Sus scrofa: one gene and its partner. The protein of the gene in region 2 interacts with the protein of the main gene of each other region in a pairwise test. Links are inferred from orthologs where the notes say so. Each region holds a gene or a part of one and is shown on either strand. Other genes may lie near its edges.

Region 1 (6,443 bases), on a different chromosome or scaffold from region 2:
CAGTCTCTCCACTACGCTCCTCAGGACAGAGCTATTTCTGAATTCAATCAGTTCAAAGGTCACAGACTGAGATCAAACTGCGACCCTAAGTAACCTCTTCTCCTCACCCCTGGGCAGCATGATCTAGAGCGTGGTGAGAAGACTCTCCGCACTTAATATAAATGTCTTCACACACCTTGAGGACTGTTCCTCAGAGAGAAAAAGGACCCACCGGAGAGTCTTCTACACCCTATGGTTCCATATGGGTGTAACTGGTCAGGCAAATACGGCCTGAGGGCGGTAGGAAAAGGGAAAAGTCTGCTGGGAGAGCAGTGAACAGAGCATTAGTTGGCTAAGTCTCACCAATCTGAGAGCGAAGGACTAAAAGCTACTTCAGGGAAGGAATTCAAAGAACCTACCCCAGGCCTCCTTCCTGTTCTCACAGTCCCTCCGCCCACCTCCCTAGCACACTTACAAAGAGTATCCTAACTGCCTGCTGTATTCTTTGTCCCTCATTAGAAAGTCTGGTGAAAGCGAGGACTGTATAGCACACAGCATAGTACGTGCCAGAGCCGTGCTGGAGCTGGCTCTCACTGGAGAGAGCAGACTGTGTGCATCTCTTCCCAACTCGCCCTGAAGTGACTTCATGTTGGTGGCTTGAAATAGAACACAGTGGGAGTATTTACACCATGGCAATCAGCAAATGTTATAAACCACACCGTCCCCTACCCCAGAACTGGTGGTTAAACGTTTGCCAGCACATCACTGTATATACCTAAGGGCTAAATATAATGTCAAATACAGCAGGCCCAGAACTACACCAAATGAAAGAATATCAGATGAATAAATGACTACACTAGCCTCTGCCAGTGCCCTTATAAAAGGGCCCTACCACTTAATGTATTTAAGCTGAAATACATTTACTTAAAACCTGCTGCTTCTGAGGAAGGCATAAAATGGACTAGTGACCACCTCTGGCATTCTGACCCACTTGGGCCTCCATACCTTGTGGGGTTCCAAACATGATGTTGACTGTACAGGAGCGGTGAATCTGGTGTTGCTGGGTGATAACAATAGCAAAGGGAGACCCTCCCCTGCTAACATCCTCCAAGGCTTGTGACAGTGACACCTCTGTGTTAAGGAAGATCAAGTCCACTACCATGCCTAGGTCTCGAACCTTCCGCCCCACAGATTCAGCATAATCTCTGGAGAAACAAAGAGGATCTTAGTGAGCACTCCCTGACCAACTCCTAACGTGCAAACTAAGGCACCTCAGTCAGCTGTGTGCCCTCCCCGTGCTCCCTCGAGCTCTCTTCAGGTTCCAAAGATCTAGACCGATTCCTTCTCTTCATATTGGCCCAGAATATTCATACATGAAGTTGTCATTGCTACAGTATTTAATACCCAGGTCCTTCTCTTCTCTAGTCTAATGACAGTTCCTCAACACCATCCTACTGACCTGTGGCACATGTCTGTCTTTGCAGCAGCTGTACAACACTGTGGGAAAAGTATGGGTTTTAAATGCTAGGAGGATAGGTTTGGATCCTAGCACTAACATTTACTTGCAAAGTTGAAGCTTTAAGCAAGTCCCTTTACCTCTTACAAACCTCAGTTTCTTTACCAATAAGACAGGAATAATATGGCTCAGCTCATAAGTCACTTCCTTGACTTTCTCTCCAATCTAAATCAGATCCTTGATATATTTCTTCTTCTAGGACTCATCACCAATACATTTATTTCTGTCATCTGTCCAGCTAGGGTATAAGCTCCACAAGAGGAAGGGCCCATGTGTGTTTGCTTAGCATTACAGCTCCAGGACCTAGCACCTGCCATACATAGAAAAAATGTGCTGAATGAATACACAGGTAAACATGATGACTGTGAAGAGCAAAAAAATAATTTAAAGTGCCTAGCATGGGGTAGTACACAGTAGGTGCTCAGAAAATGATAGCTATTATTGTATGTCAAAAAAAAAAAAAAAGAAAAAAGAAAAAACAAAAGCTATCTATAAGTTAAAGCAGCATCTATTTCTAAACAAGGCAGCCCAGAGTCTGTGAACTCTGCCTGCTGCTTGGTGTCTCAACACCTATTTCCCTAATCTCTTCCTTGAAATCAGCTCTTTAACCCCAAAGTGCTAGAAAACACATGAAGTTATTTACTAACCACCTGGGGAAAGGGAACACAGCCACTGCCAAGCTTACAAGCTGCTATACTCCCTTCTGCACCTCCGTGCTGCTTCTTCAAGGAAAGAATGCGAAAGGGAGACGGAGTAAAACGGTGCTGTGAACTCTGGCTTGACTACCATGGTCACCTACCAGCTCTGCAAGGCCATGGCACTTCACAAAGAAGACCTGGCTCTTGGCTGACAACGCAGAGATATACGGCTTGGGGATGTGGGATTGTCCCATCAAGGGGAGGTCTACTGTTTCCCTGATCAGCATATATTCCCTCTTCAATTCTCCTTTAGGAAGGCACCTCTTTCGCACTCAGTCCACATGGTTCCACAGGGTTAATCCCACCTTTAGCCCTGGGGGTGGGAACATGACCTAGCCCTGGCCAATTAGGCACCCCAGCACTGCTGGCCAAAGTGACTAGTTAAGGGATGAGGAAATAAGTCACAGGACAATGCAATGAGAATCAATTCCAGGACTTCAGGTGGAAGCAATGGGAAAGACCCGCTCTCTTTCCATGGGTTTGCAAAGCTAAGAAGATACACGCCTAGCGCCAGTGTCTTTTTGCCTTTTCAAGTAGAAAGCCTGTGTGAGAGAGTTCCCGTCGTAGCGCAGCAGAAACGAATCTGACTAGGAACTATGAGGTTGCAGGTCTGATCCCTGGCCTCCCTCAAGAGGGTTAAGGATCTGGCATTGCTGTGAACTGTGGTGTAGGTTGGAGATGCGGCTCAGACCGTGTGTTGCTGTGGCTGTGGCTGTGGCTGGCAGCTGTAGCTCCGATTTGACCCCTAGCCTGGGAACCTCCATATGTCGATGGTGTGGCCCTAAAAAAGAGCCAAAAAAAAAAAGGACTGAGAATGAAGGCAATACAGATACCAAGTCTTTATGACAGTTTGACCCTGGATGAACTTCCCAGTCAAACAAACTAAAAATTTCCCTTTGGGACCTAAGCCAGTTTGCATTGCTTTTTCTGTCACCTAAACTGACAGAACTCTGACTAACACAGTGCAGCAATGCCAGAATACACAGTCCAAGTCCGGTGTATGGCTGCCAAGAAGGAGCCTGAATTTCTCTTTTGACCCTTCTTACAGAGGAGAAACATCCAAAGGGTTCTTACTTAGTCTGCTTGTTGACCACAATCACAGAACAATCAACAGGCCTCTCAGCATCAAATCGTCTCTGGATTTCCTCAAAATATTGACGATAAAGCTCTTCTCTTCGCCGTTCCTCACGTTTCAAACGCTCTGCAAGATAATACCAAGGAAAACTGAAACATGGACTGTACCTTTCTATGAAAGTAAGTCACAAGCCTCATTTTGAATCCCGAACTACTTGTAGGCGAAGGTCTGAGCACATACACTTTCTCTCTCTGAATTAATACTCTAGACTATTTCCTAAAATTAACCATTATTATTTTACTACAAATTCACTGAAATGGAATGACTGGACTAAAAGGTATGGTTTAATCTGGATTGAAGGTACTATTTTAATCTGAAACATGCTATCAAAATGCCCTCCAGAAAGGCTGTAACTAATTTATTCCTTCACAGGGGTGGATCACCTAGTGCTGTTCCTCCACATCTTAGTCAACCCTGAGTACTGTCATTAAAAAAAAAAAAAAAAAAAAAAAAAAAGCCACTCCTGCCAACTTGATAGGTAAAAGATGGTATTTCATTATTATTCTAATTTTCATTTTTGGGATAACTATTTAAGACAGGTACTTGTAATTGTTTTTTAAAAATGAGGCAGTAAAGTATAAGTTTTATAACAAATTAAAAATGAAGTTCTTGGAGTTCCCGTTGTGGCTCAGTGGTTAATGAATCCGACCAGCAACCATGAGGTTGCAGGTTCTATCCCTGGCCTCGCTCAGTGGGTTAAGGATCCCGTGTTGCTGTGAGCTGTGCTGTACAGAGCTGTGCTGTACAGCTCCGATTAGACCCCTAGCCTGGGAACCTCCATGTACCATGGGTGTGGCCCAGAAAAGAGAAAAAAAACAAAAGAAGTTCTTGACCAAGTATGAAACAACTTAAAAATCTTTAAAGATGTATTGAGAAAAACAAAGCTCTTAAAAAAATGTTTGTCTTTACTCAAAAAGTAGATGCTGTTGGGTAAAAATTGTAACTAAAACAAAAAATCCTACATGCTACATACATAATGCAGATAGTTGTAGTTATTTGATCAATGGGGAAAAAGCATGCACCTAACCTCTTCAGCTCCAATCTTCTGTTTTTATTTCTTTTCTTATGCTGGAATTTCATATTTATTTCTTCTTGTTAGATGACTAAGCTAGATGATGGTACTAATTTGCCTTTTTAGGGCTGCAACCATGGAGTATGGAAGTTCTCAGGCTAGGAGTTGAAATGGAGCTGCAGCCACCAGCCTACGCCACAGCCATAGCAATGCGGGATCAGAGCCGTGTCTGTGACCTACACCACAGCTCACTGCAACGCTGGATCCTTAACCCAATGAACCAGGCCAGGGATTGAACCTGTGTCCTCATGGATACTAGTCAGGTTCTTTACCACTAAGCCGCAATGGGAACTCCTTACAAATATTTTTTAAGATGAGTACTCTCTATATATGAATAGGCCCTTTGTATTTCTTTTTTTGTAAATTGCTTAGCCAAGTCATTAGCCTCCTTCCAGTCGGTTATCAGTTTCTTTCTTTTGTCAAGTGTTCTATTAGTAATAAGAATAAACTGTTTCTGCTACTTTACCTTTTGCACGAGACTGATTTTCTGGGCCTGGAGGGCCTCGTCCATCAAAGCTATCTCTGTAACGGTCAAAGTAAGAGTCATCCTTCCTCCTGCAATAGTCATCCATTCGCAGGTATCGGTCGTATGAGCCTTCTCTCCTGAAGTTAAAAGAAATTTGCACAAGATTAGCCCTATCCTGCAAAAATCAAATACAGAGAATTCTTTAAGCCCCGGTTGTCTGTGAGGTAGTAAGCATAGTAAAGCATAGGACTTTGGGATTAGTATCTGCAATTTACCGCTTATCAGCTCTGTGGCTGTGACTGAGTTATTAACCTACCTTCCAAAATGACTGGGAGGATGTACAGAAAGCTCTCAGCATAAAGTAAGATCCCTGGCCTAAAGTAAATACAAAATAACTGGTAGCAATTATCGATAATTTTAGTTTTGAGGACTCATTCCATGCCCCCACCTCCTTCCCTGTTTTTTTTTTAAATTATAGTTAAAAAAAGACAAACACTTTTTATCACTCTGAACAGAAATTCATTCGTCATCTCTGTAACCTCTAATCTACTTTGTCTCTGAATTTGCCTTTTTTTTTTTTCACACTGTACAGCAAGGGGATCAAGTTATCCTTACATGTATACATTACAATTACATTTTTTTCCCCCACCCTTTGTTCTGCTGCAACATGAGTATCTAGACAAAGTTCTCAATGCTACTCAGCAGGATCTCCTTGTAAATCTAAGTTGTGTCTGATATGAATTTGCCTTTTCTAAATACTTCATAAAAATGAAATCATATGATATTTGTCTTTTGTGTCTGTCTGGCCTATTTCACTTTGCATAATGTTTTTAAGGTCCATCAAGATTTCAGCAGGTGTTACAACTGCCTATTTTATGGCTGAATAACATTCTACTGTATCGATATACCACTGCTTAAATCCATCTACTGGTGGACATTTAGGCTGTGTCTACTTTCCAGCTTCTGTGAAGAGTGTTTCTATGTATATTCACATACATCTGTGTGAGTTCCTCTTTTCAATTCTTTTGGAGATATATTCAGGAAGAGAACTGATGGGTCATTAACTCTACTATATTTAACATTTTGAGGAACCACCAAACTGTTTTTCACAGTGGTTATACTACTTCACAGTCTCACCAGCAATGTATGAGAGTTCCAATTTCTCCACCCCTTGCCAACATTTACTTTTCTATTTTTAAAATTTTTTTTGGCTTTTTAGGGCTGCACTGGCAGCATATGGAGGTTCCCAGGCTAAGGGTCCAATAGGAGCTACAGCTGCTGGCCTATGCCACAGCCATGCCAGATCCGAGCCACGTCTGCAACCTCTACCACAGCTCATGGCAATGCCAGATCCTTAATCCACTGAGTGAGGCCAGGGATCGAACCTGCAACCTCATGGTTCCCAGTAAGATTTGGTTCCACTGTGCCACAGTGGGAACTCCAACATTTACTTTGCTTAAAAAAAAAAAAAAAAAAAAATTATTGTAGCCATCCTGGTAGGTATGAAGTGGTATTTCATTGTGGCTTTGATTTGCATTTTTTTTATAACGAAGGACGTCAAGCATCTTTTCAGGTAT
Region 2 (6,443 bases):
GAATTCCTACACCTCTACATCAACTAGATCAGAAATCTGTTATTTTGGGGAGTTCCCTGGTGGTCTAGTGGTTAGGAGTCAGTGCTTTCACCAATGCGGCCCAGATTCAATCCCCGATCTGGGAATGAGATCCCACGTCAAGCCGCTGCACATAGTGACAAAGAAAGGAAGGAAGGAAGGAAGGGAGGAAGGAAGGAAGGAAAGAAGAAAGAAAGAAAGAAAGAAGGAAGGAAGGAAGGAAAGAAAGAAAGAAAGAGAAAGAAAGAAAGAAAGAACGAAGGAAGGAAGGAAGGAAAGAAAGAAAGGAAAGAAAGAGAAAGAAAGAAAGAAGGAAAGAAAGGAAGAAAGAAGGAAAGAAAGGAAGAAAAAAGGAAAGAAAGAAAGAAAGAAGAAAGAAAGGAAAGAAAGAAAGAAGAAAGAAGGAAAGAAAGAAGGAAAGAAAGAAGAAGGAAAGAAAAAAAGAAAAAAAGAAAGAAAGAAAGAAAGAAGGAAAGAAAAAAGAAAGAAAGAAGGAAAGAAAGAAGAAGGAAAGAAAAAAGCAAAGAAAAGAAGGAAAAAGAAACCTCTATTTTTAACAGTCTCTGGATCATTCTACTGTACCGCCAGACTAGATACTGCTAAAGTTCTTTTTAGTGCTAAGCAGACAAGAGTCCAGAACACAAATATACCTGCCACATCAGCCACTTAAAATCATTCCTATAATAATTTCAAAATTAAAAGAACACATGTCCTAAGTGCTTCAACCTTAGACCAAATGACAATTATTGGCAAAAGGTCAAATTACTAATAATTACCATAGCCTTCATCTACTGCCCCATAATTTCTGCTTTACCAAAACACAAAGACCATTCACAGATTACAAGTACTAATGCATCAGAGGCTGTTCGTGTTGATGATCTTACCCAGATCACAGGTCCATCTCCAGGTCTTGCCTGTTGTTTCCAGATAGGAATCTGAAAAATTCAACAAATTTCTTAAGCCACAACTTCAGTTAAACCACTAATAAATTCTTTAAAGCAATGCATACATGAAAAATAAAGTGTTTCTAATCAACCAACAATCAAGGTGAAAAAAATGAATTATAGGAAGAAATCCAAATCCTTCCAAGTGTCCTTAACAATGAAAGAGCAATAATTAATTATAAGATGTTCTCTAGAGAGTAGAAAGAGACCTGAACTAGGAATTGGAAGGCCTGGCAGGTTCAAGTCTTTCTTTCCCACTTAATTATTCACAGGACCTCCCCATGTCTCTACTTCCTCATCTATAAAATGCAGACATCTGTCTGAACCTTGTCTCTTTCACAGGGTTTCCACTGGGATCAAACAAGATGAGGCTTGCAAAAGAGCTTTACAATTATGAAAGGCTGACTTTTCTGAATACTTCCTATAAGTTTACTAGAGTTCCATTAAAACTCCAAAAACAAAGAAATCTTTTACATCAAACCTGAGAATGTGTGCTTCTAATCTAAGCAATTTAAGAAGCTCTAAGAGTTCCCTCTTGGCTCAGCAGGTTAAGGATCCAGCGTTGTCACTCCTGTGGCTCTGGTTACAGCCATGGCACGGGTTGGATTCTCAGCTTGGGGAACATCCACATGCCACGGGCACGGCCAAATAAATAAGTAAATAATAAAAAAAAAAAAAATAGGAGTTCCCATCGTGGCTTGGTGGTTAACAAATCCGACTAGGGACCATGGGGTTGCGGGTCTAGTCCCCGGCCTCGCTCAGTGGGTTGAGGATCTGGCGTTGCCATGGGCTGTGGTGTAGGTTGCAGACAAGGCTCGGATCTGGAGTTGCTGTGGCTCTGGCGGAGGCCGGCAGCTACGGCTCCAGTTGGACCCCTGACCTGGGAACCACGTGCTGCGGGTACGGCCTTAGAGGAGACGGGGGAACAAAAAAAAAAAAAATTTAAATAAATAAAATAAATAAAAAGCTCTAACTTAATATCCAAGGAGAGGGGACTTAATTTGCATAACCATACCATCACATATTTCCTTACCTACAAATAAGGGACTAAACTCTACTAACTCAACCACATTCTGGTAGGGAAAAAAAAAAAATCTCATTCAAAAACAAACTTTAAAATGTTGTTATATTTTGTAAAGCACATTTTAGGTCAGTGCTAAACTCATGCTCTATTTCGCTTCTGATTCCATCCTAAACTTGTCTTCTTCCTGCAATCACTCACCAACTTACCATCTTCCTCTCATTAGATATGAAGACAGCGTAACACTCTTCTAATGGATATTGGTCGTGGTTTTTGATGTATTCACAGAGCTTCCAAATATTTTCTTCACTGAAATAAAATAATTGCTTAAGCAATATAATGCAAGCAAGAACGCGCTGTTTTTCAAATTTGAACAAAAGACTGATGACGATATAAAAAAGTTGGAAGCAACCATAATCACCACTTCATCCAACAACTAACTGGCTGACAGAACTTCCTCTAAAACACCCCCAGCAAGCTGTTACCAAACTATACTGCTCGTGACCGACCCCATCTACAGACAGAGCTCAGGACCTCTGTCAGCAGTGCTACTGTACGGAGGCATTTTAACACCGCTCAAACACTACGTCAGCCTTCTATAATCTATAATCCAGGGCCCTGAGATGGAGCTGGAATTCCAACTCAGCCACATACAAAGTAGGAAGCTTCAGACATCCTGACCTCTCTGAAGGCCTGCTTTTCTCCTCTGTAAAATGGACACAACCATCATAACCACAGCATGTGATGAACACTCAATCTTAGTTAACACTGGTTTCCTGCTCCCCTTAGGAATGGGGCAGGATGTGTGTCTGGGGTAGGAGGTCTCCTTACTGAAAAACGACTGGGACAGTTGTCTTATGCCCAGGAATTCTTTGGAGGGAGCCCCTTGTGAGTGGTATTCCCTGGGCCCCCCTGGAATGGAGGGGGGTCCTGGCTTTTACAAAGCTGTTTTTCATACTGAACTGAAATCTGTATTCCTATACTCCTGCCCCAGATGAATCTCTCTTCTACATGAGATGCCTTTAGCTCTCTGAAGCAGTGGTCAGAACTGCCCAAGTAATGCAATGCCCAGGGCATCAAACCAAGCCACGCTGGAAGCCACAGTTCAGCCTTTGGGCTTCTGTCTTTTTCTAGTGAGCTACACAGCACCTCGGCTCAAAATGAGCTACACCAACATTTTGCTCACACAAGTGACTCACTGTGTCAAAATCCAATTTCCAGCCACCTACACCATGCCACCTGAAGATGAGGCAAGGCACAAACGGCACCAAGGACTATAGCCATGCTGTGGAAAGACACACTTTCAATTCAGTCTTGCCCTGTCTACCTGTCTCAATGATCTAAACAACTAAGCTTACTGAAGTGGAGAGTCTGCATTTTTCTCCGGTAATATTATTTTCCCCTGAAATATCTAAGAACCCTTAGAGAAAAAAATGGCAGAGGTAAAAACAGGAGATCGCTACTAATTCCATAGGATGTGTAGCACAGAGGAACAAAATTTTACTGTTTCAGTACCACACAACTTGTAGTAGCTAATTTTTTTTTTTTTTTTTTTTTTTTTTTTTTACTCTGGATGTTCTCAGACCAAGTTTTGAGACAACATCTGTCTGTCCAGCCTAATAATTTTGGAGAGCTGACCACAAACAAGAGCCTGTGATGTACACCACACACTGCTAAGTGCCTGGAGAATGTAACGAGCCAGCAAGAGGAGCCATACAGATCCATAAAAAAGTGAGCATCACAGAAGGCATGAAAGATGCATAGAGCAAGCACAGATGAGGCGTTCATTTTGAAGGATACAGGAAGATGGAGGAGGTGTAGGTCAGTGGATGCTCCTTGCTCCCCTCGCACATTCCAAGGGTGGGCACCGAGTTAATGCAAAAGGTTCGAAAATCCTCATGTACCACAAGCACTACTGGTAAGAAGCTGAATTACACATGTGACTTGGACATACTTCGCCTATTACTTTTCAAACACGCGTGAATGTTACGCAGAGAAAAAACAAATTTAAACGTAACAGTTACTGGGTTTCTCGTCCTTTTTTAATCAATTTTTTCAAGAGTACAGTTACTATCATGGAGAAGGATCTCGTAAAACTTGTGATGCTAATAAAAAAGAGAGCCTTATCCGTGGAAACACTGGCAGAGAAAAAGCCCTGGATTTGGTGTGACTCCTGAAACCCATTTAACTGTTTTTTCTTAAAAAAAAAGAGGGGATGATAATAGAAATGTTCCAGTTGATTACTTTGGCAGGAGAAACGCTGACAAAGCACCATTAGGGCCAGGATTCTGCAAGAATGGCTACCGGTGATGGGCTGAAGTCAGAGAGGACCTCAAGGGGAGGATCCAGGCGCACGCAAGTGCTCAACAAATATTTGAAAAATCCAACACCATTATAAAAGAATCACAAGTGCTCTGCAAACTACAGAGAGCCACACAAACACAGGCTATCACTGTTCTCATGAGGCTGGGTCTTAAAAGATAAGTAACAGCTGATGGAAGCTAACGGAAGTGGAAAGGAGGCATTTATTTCAAGCTAGGAGGACCCACAGGAGCCAGTGTAGAAAGGCATACCTACCCGATGTGTTCAGACAGGACAAAGCACCAGTTCTCCATCAGAAGTGATTCTGCCCCAGCCCCAGGGGACATTTGGCAGTGTCTGGGGACATTTCAGGTTGTCACAAACTGGGAGACGGTGGAATGGGCGGGCATTCAGTGTGCAGAGGCCAGGGATGCTGCTACACAACCTACCATACACAGGACAGGCCCCCAGAGAATTGCCACCTCAAAATGCCAACAGAGGCAAAGCTGAAAAACCCTCGGGTAGGGCAGGAAAGGCAAGTTCACAAAGAGACCGAAGGAACAGGTGGTGACTAGATCTTTAGAGGGCTTACTAGGCTCAGAAAGCAGACTTTATTGTCAAAGGCTGCATTCTTGAAATATGATCCACAGACCAGCCTCAGACTCATCCAGGTTGCTGTTCACACACCCAGCAGCTCTGTGGTGGGGCCTGGAGATCTGCATAGTTTACAAGCTCCCAGGTGATTCTCCAACACGTTCAAATTTAGAAGGGATGTGAGCAACGTGAAGCCAGCTGAAGTTAAAGACCTTAAGGACAGGGGAGAGCTGGGCAGAGAGGCCTGTCAGGAAGGGCAGCTGGAAGAGGCCCCGAGGGCCAGGTAAGGAGGGTCTGGCCCTCGGCTGAAGGAATTAGAGGAGACGATCTACTGAAGTGAAGTTCATCTCCCACCATCCTTCCCCCAAGCCTCTCCATTCCAACTGTGCCGGCCTCCCTGCCGTTTCTAGGATACACTTCCTTCTGAGAGCCTCTGCACCCGAAGTGGCCTCCTGCCAATATCCACAAAGCTCCTGCCCTCTTTTTCTTCAGATCTCTGTTCAAAGATCACTTTATCCACAATGTCTTCTTTAAATCTCCTAATAACACAATGAGTCATTACCCCTTAACTTGTTCTAGCTTTCTCCTACCACTTAAACCCAAACATGGTTAAAAGGGGTTTTGCCTGTTTTCCCCCAATCGAAATTTGAGAACTATGCAATCTTATGAGGGACATCCAATTTCTTGGGGTAGAACATGATGGGAGATAGTATGAAAAAAAAAAAAGGGTGGGTGTGTGTGTGTGTGTGTGTGTGTGTGTGAATGCCTCACTATGCTGTACAGCAGAAATTAAAAACACTATAAAACAAATGCACTCAAAAAAAACCAGAAAGAAAGAAATCAAGAAATCAAGAACTCTTACAGGGGGGAGTTCCCGTCATGGCTCAGTAGAAACATATCTGACTAGCATCCCTGGCTTCACTCAGTGGGTTACGGATCCGGCGTTGCCGTGAGCTGTGTTGTAGGTTGCAGACACGGCTTGGATCCTGTGTCTGTGGTGTAGGCCAGCAGCTACTGCTCCAATTCGACCCCTAGCCTGGAACCTCCACATGCCGCCGGTACAACCTTAAAAAAAAAAAAAAAAAAAACCTCTTACCAGGGAATATGTCTATTTTGTTCACTGCTATCTCCCTCATGCATAAAATTGTGCATCTCACACTCCAAGGGCCTAATAAACATTTACTGAATTGACAAAACAATGAGGGGATGTTAGGGACAAGAACAGAACCCAGGTGAGAGGCAGGGCAGAAACAAAGCACGGACTCCAGACTCTGGCATTACTGAGGTTCCAGTTTCAGCACCACCCTTGCAGATGTGTGATCCTGGGCAAACAACAGGTCTCTCTGCCCAGTTTTTTCATTGGTAAAATGAGGGAAATGATAATAATAAAACTACCTCCCAAAGACGGATGGAAGTACTAGGCCTGACACACTGTCAGAGCTGAACGAATGTCAAGCTCTTCCCAGCATTACTTTGGTGACTAGCTGAGGAGAGAAAGGCAGCTTTAGAGGGCCCTAAGGTTTCTTGTGCAGGGAATGGAAATTGGGGTTAGAAGTCATTAATCA

What was found. The genes of interacting proteins can lie anywhere in the genome.
Region 1: the proteins of WDYHV1 (region 2) and NCOA5 interact in a two-hybrid assay, tested with the Homo sapiens proteins (3 studies listed by BioGRID and IntAct). The two-hybrid records come from large-scale screens. The link is inferred for Sus scrofa from reciprocal best matches to the Homo sapiens genes NTAQ1 and NCOA5.

Annotation. Positions count from the first base shown.
Region 1 is NC_010459.5:48,234,592-48,241,034, forward strand, and holds part of NCOA5 (nuclear receptor coactivator 5), read right to left. Parts: intron 5,004-6,443; coding exon 4,867-5,003; intron 3,448-4,866; exon of another isoform or gene 3,395-3,447; coding exon 3,268-3,394; intron 1,185-3,267; coding exon 985-1,184; intron 1-984. UniProt on the Homo sapiens protein: Nuclear receptor coregulator that can have both coactivator and corepressor functions.
Region 2 is NC_010446.5:15,990,915-15,997,357, forward strand, and holds part of WDYHV1 (protein N-terminal glutamine amidohydrolase), read right to left. Parts: intron 2,293-6,443; coding exon 2,193-2,292; intron 954-2,192; coding exon 903-953; intron 1-902. UniProt on the Homo sapiens protein: Mediates the side-chain deamidation of N-terminal glutamine residues to glutamate, an important step in N-end rule pathway of protein degradation.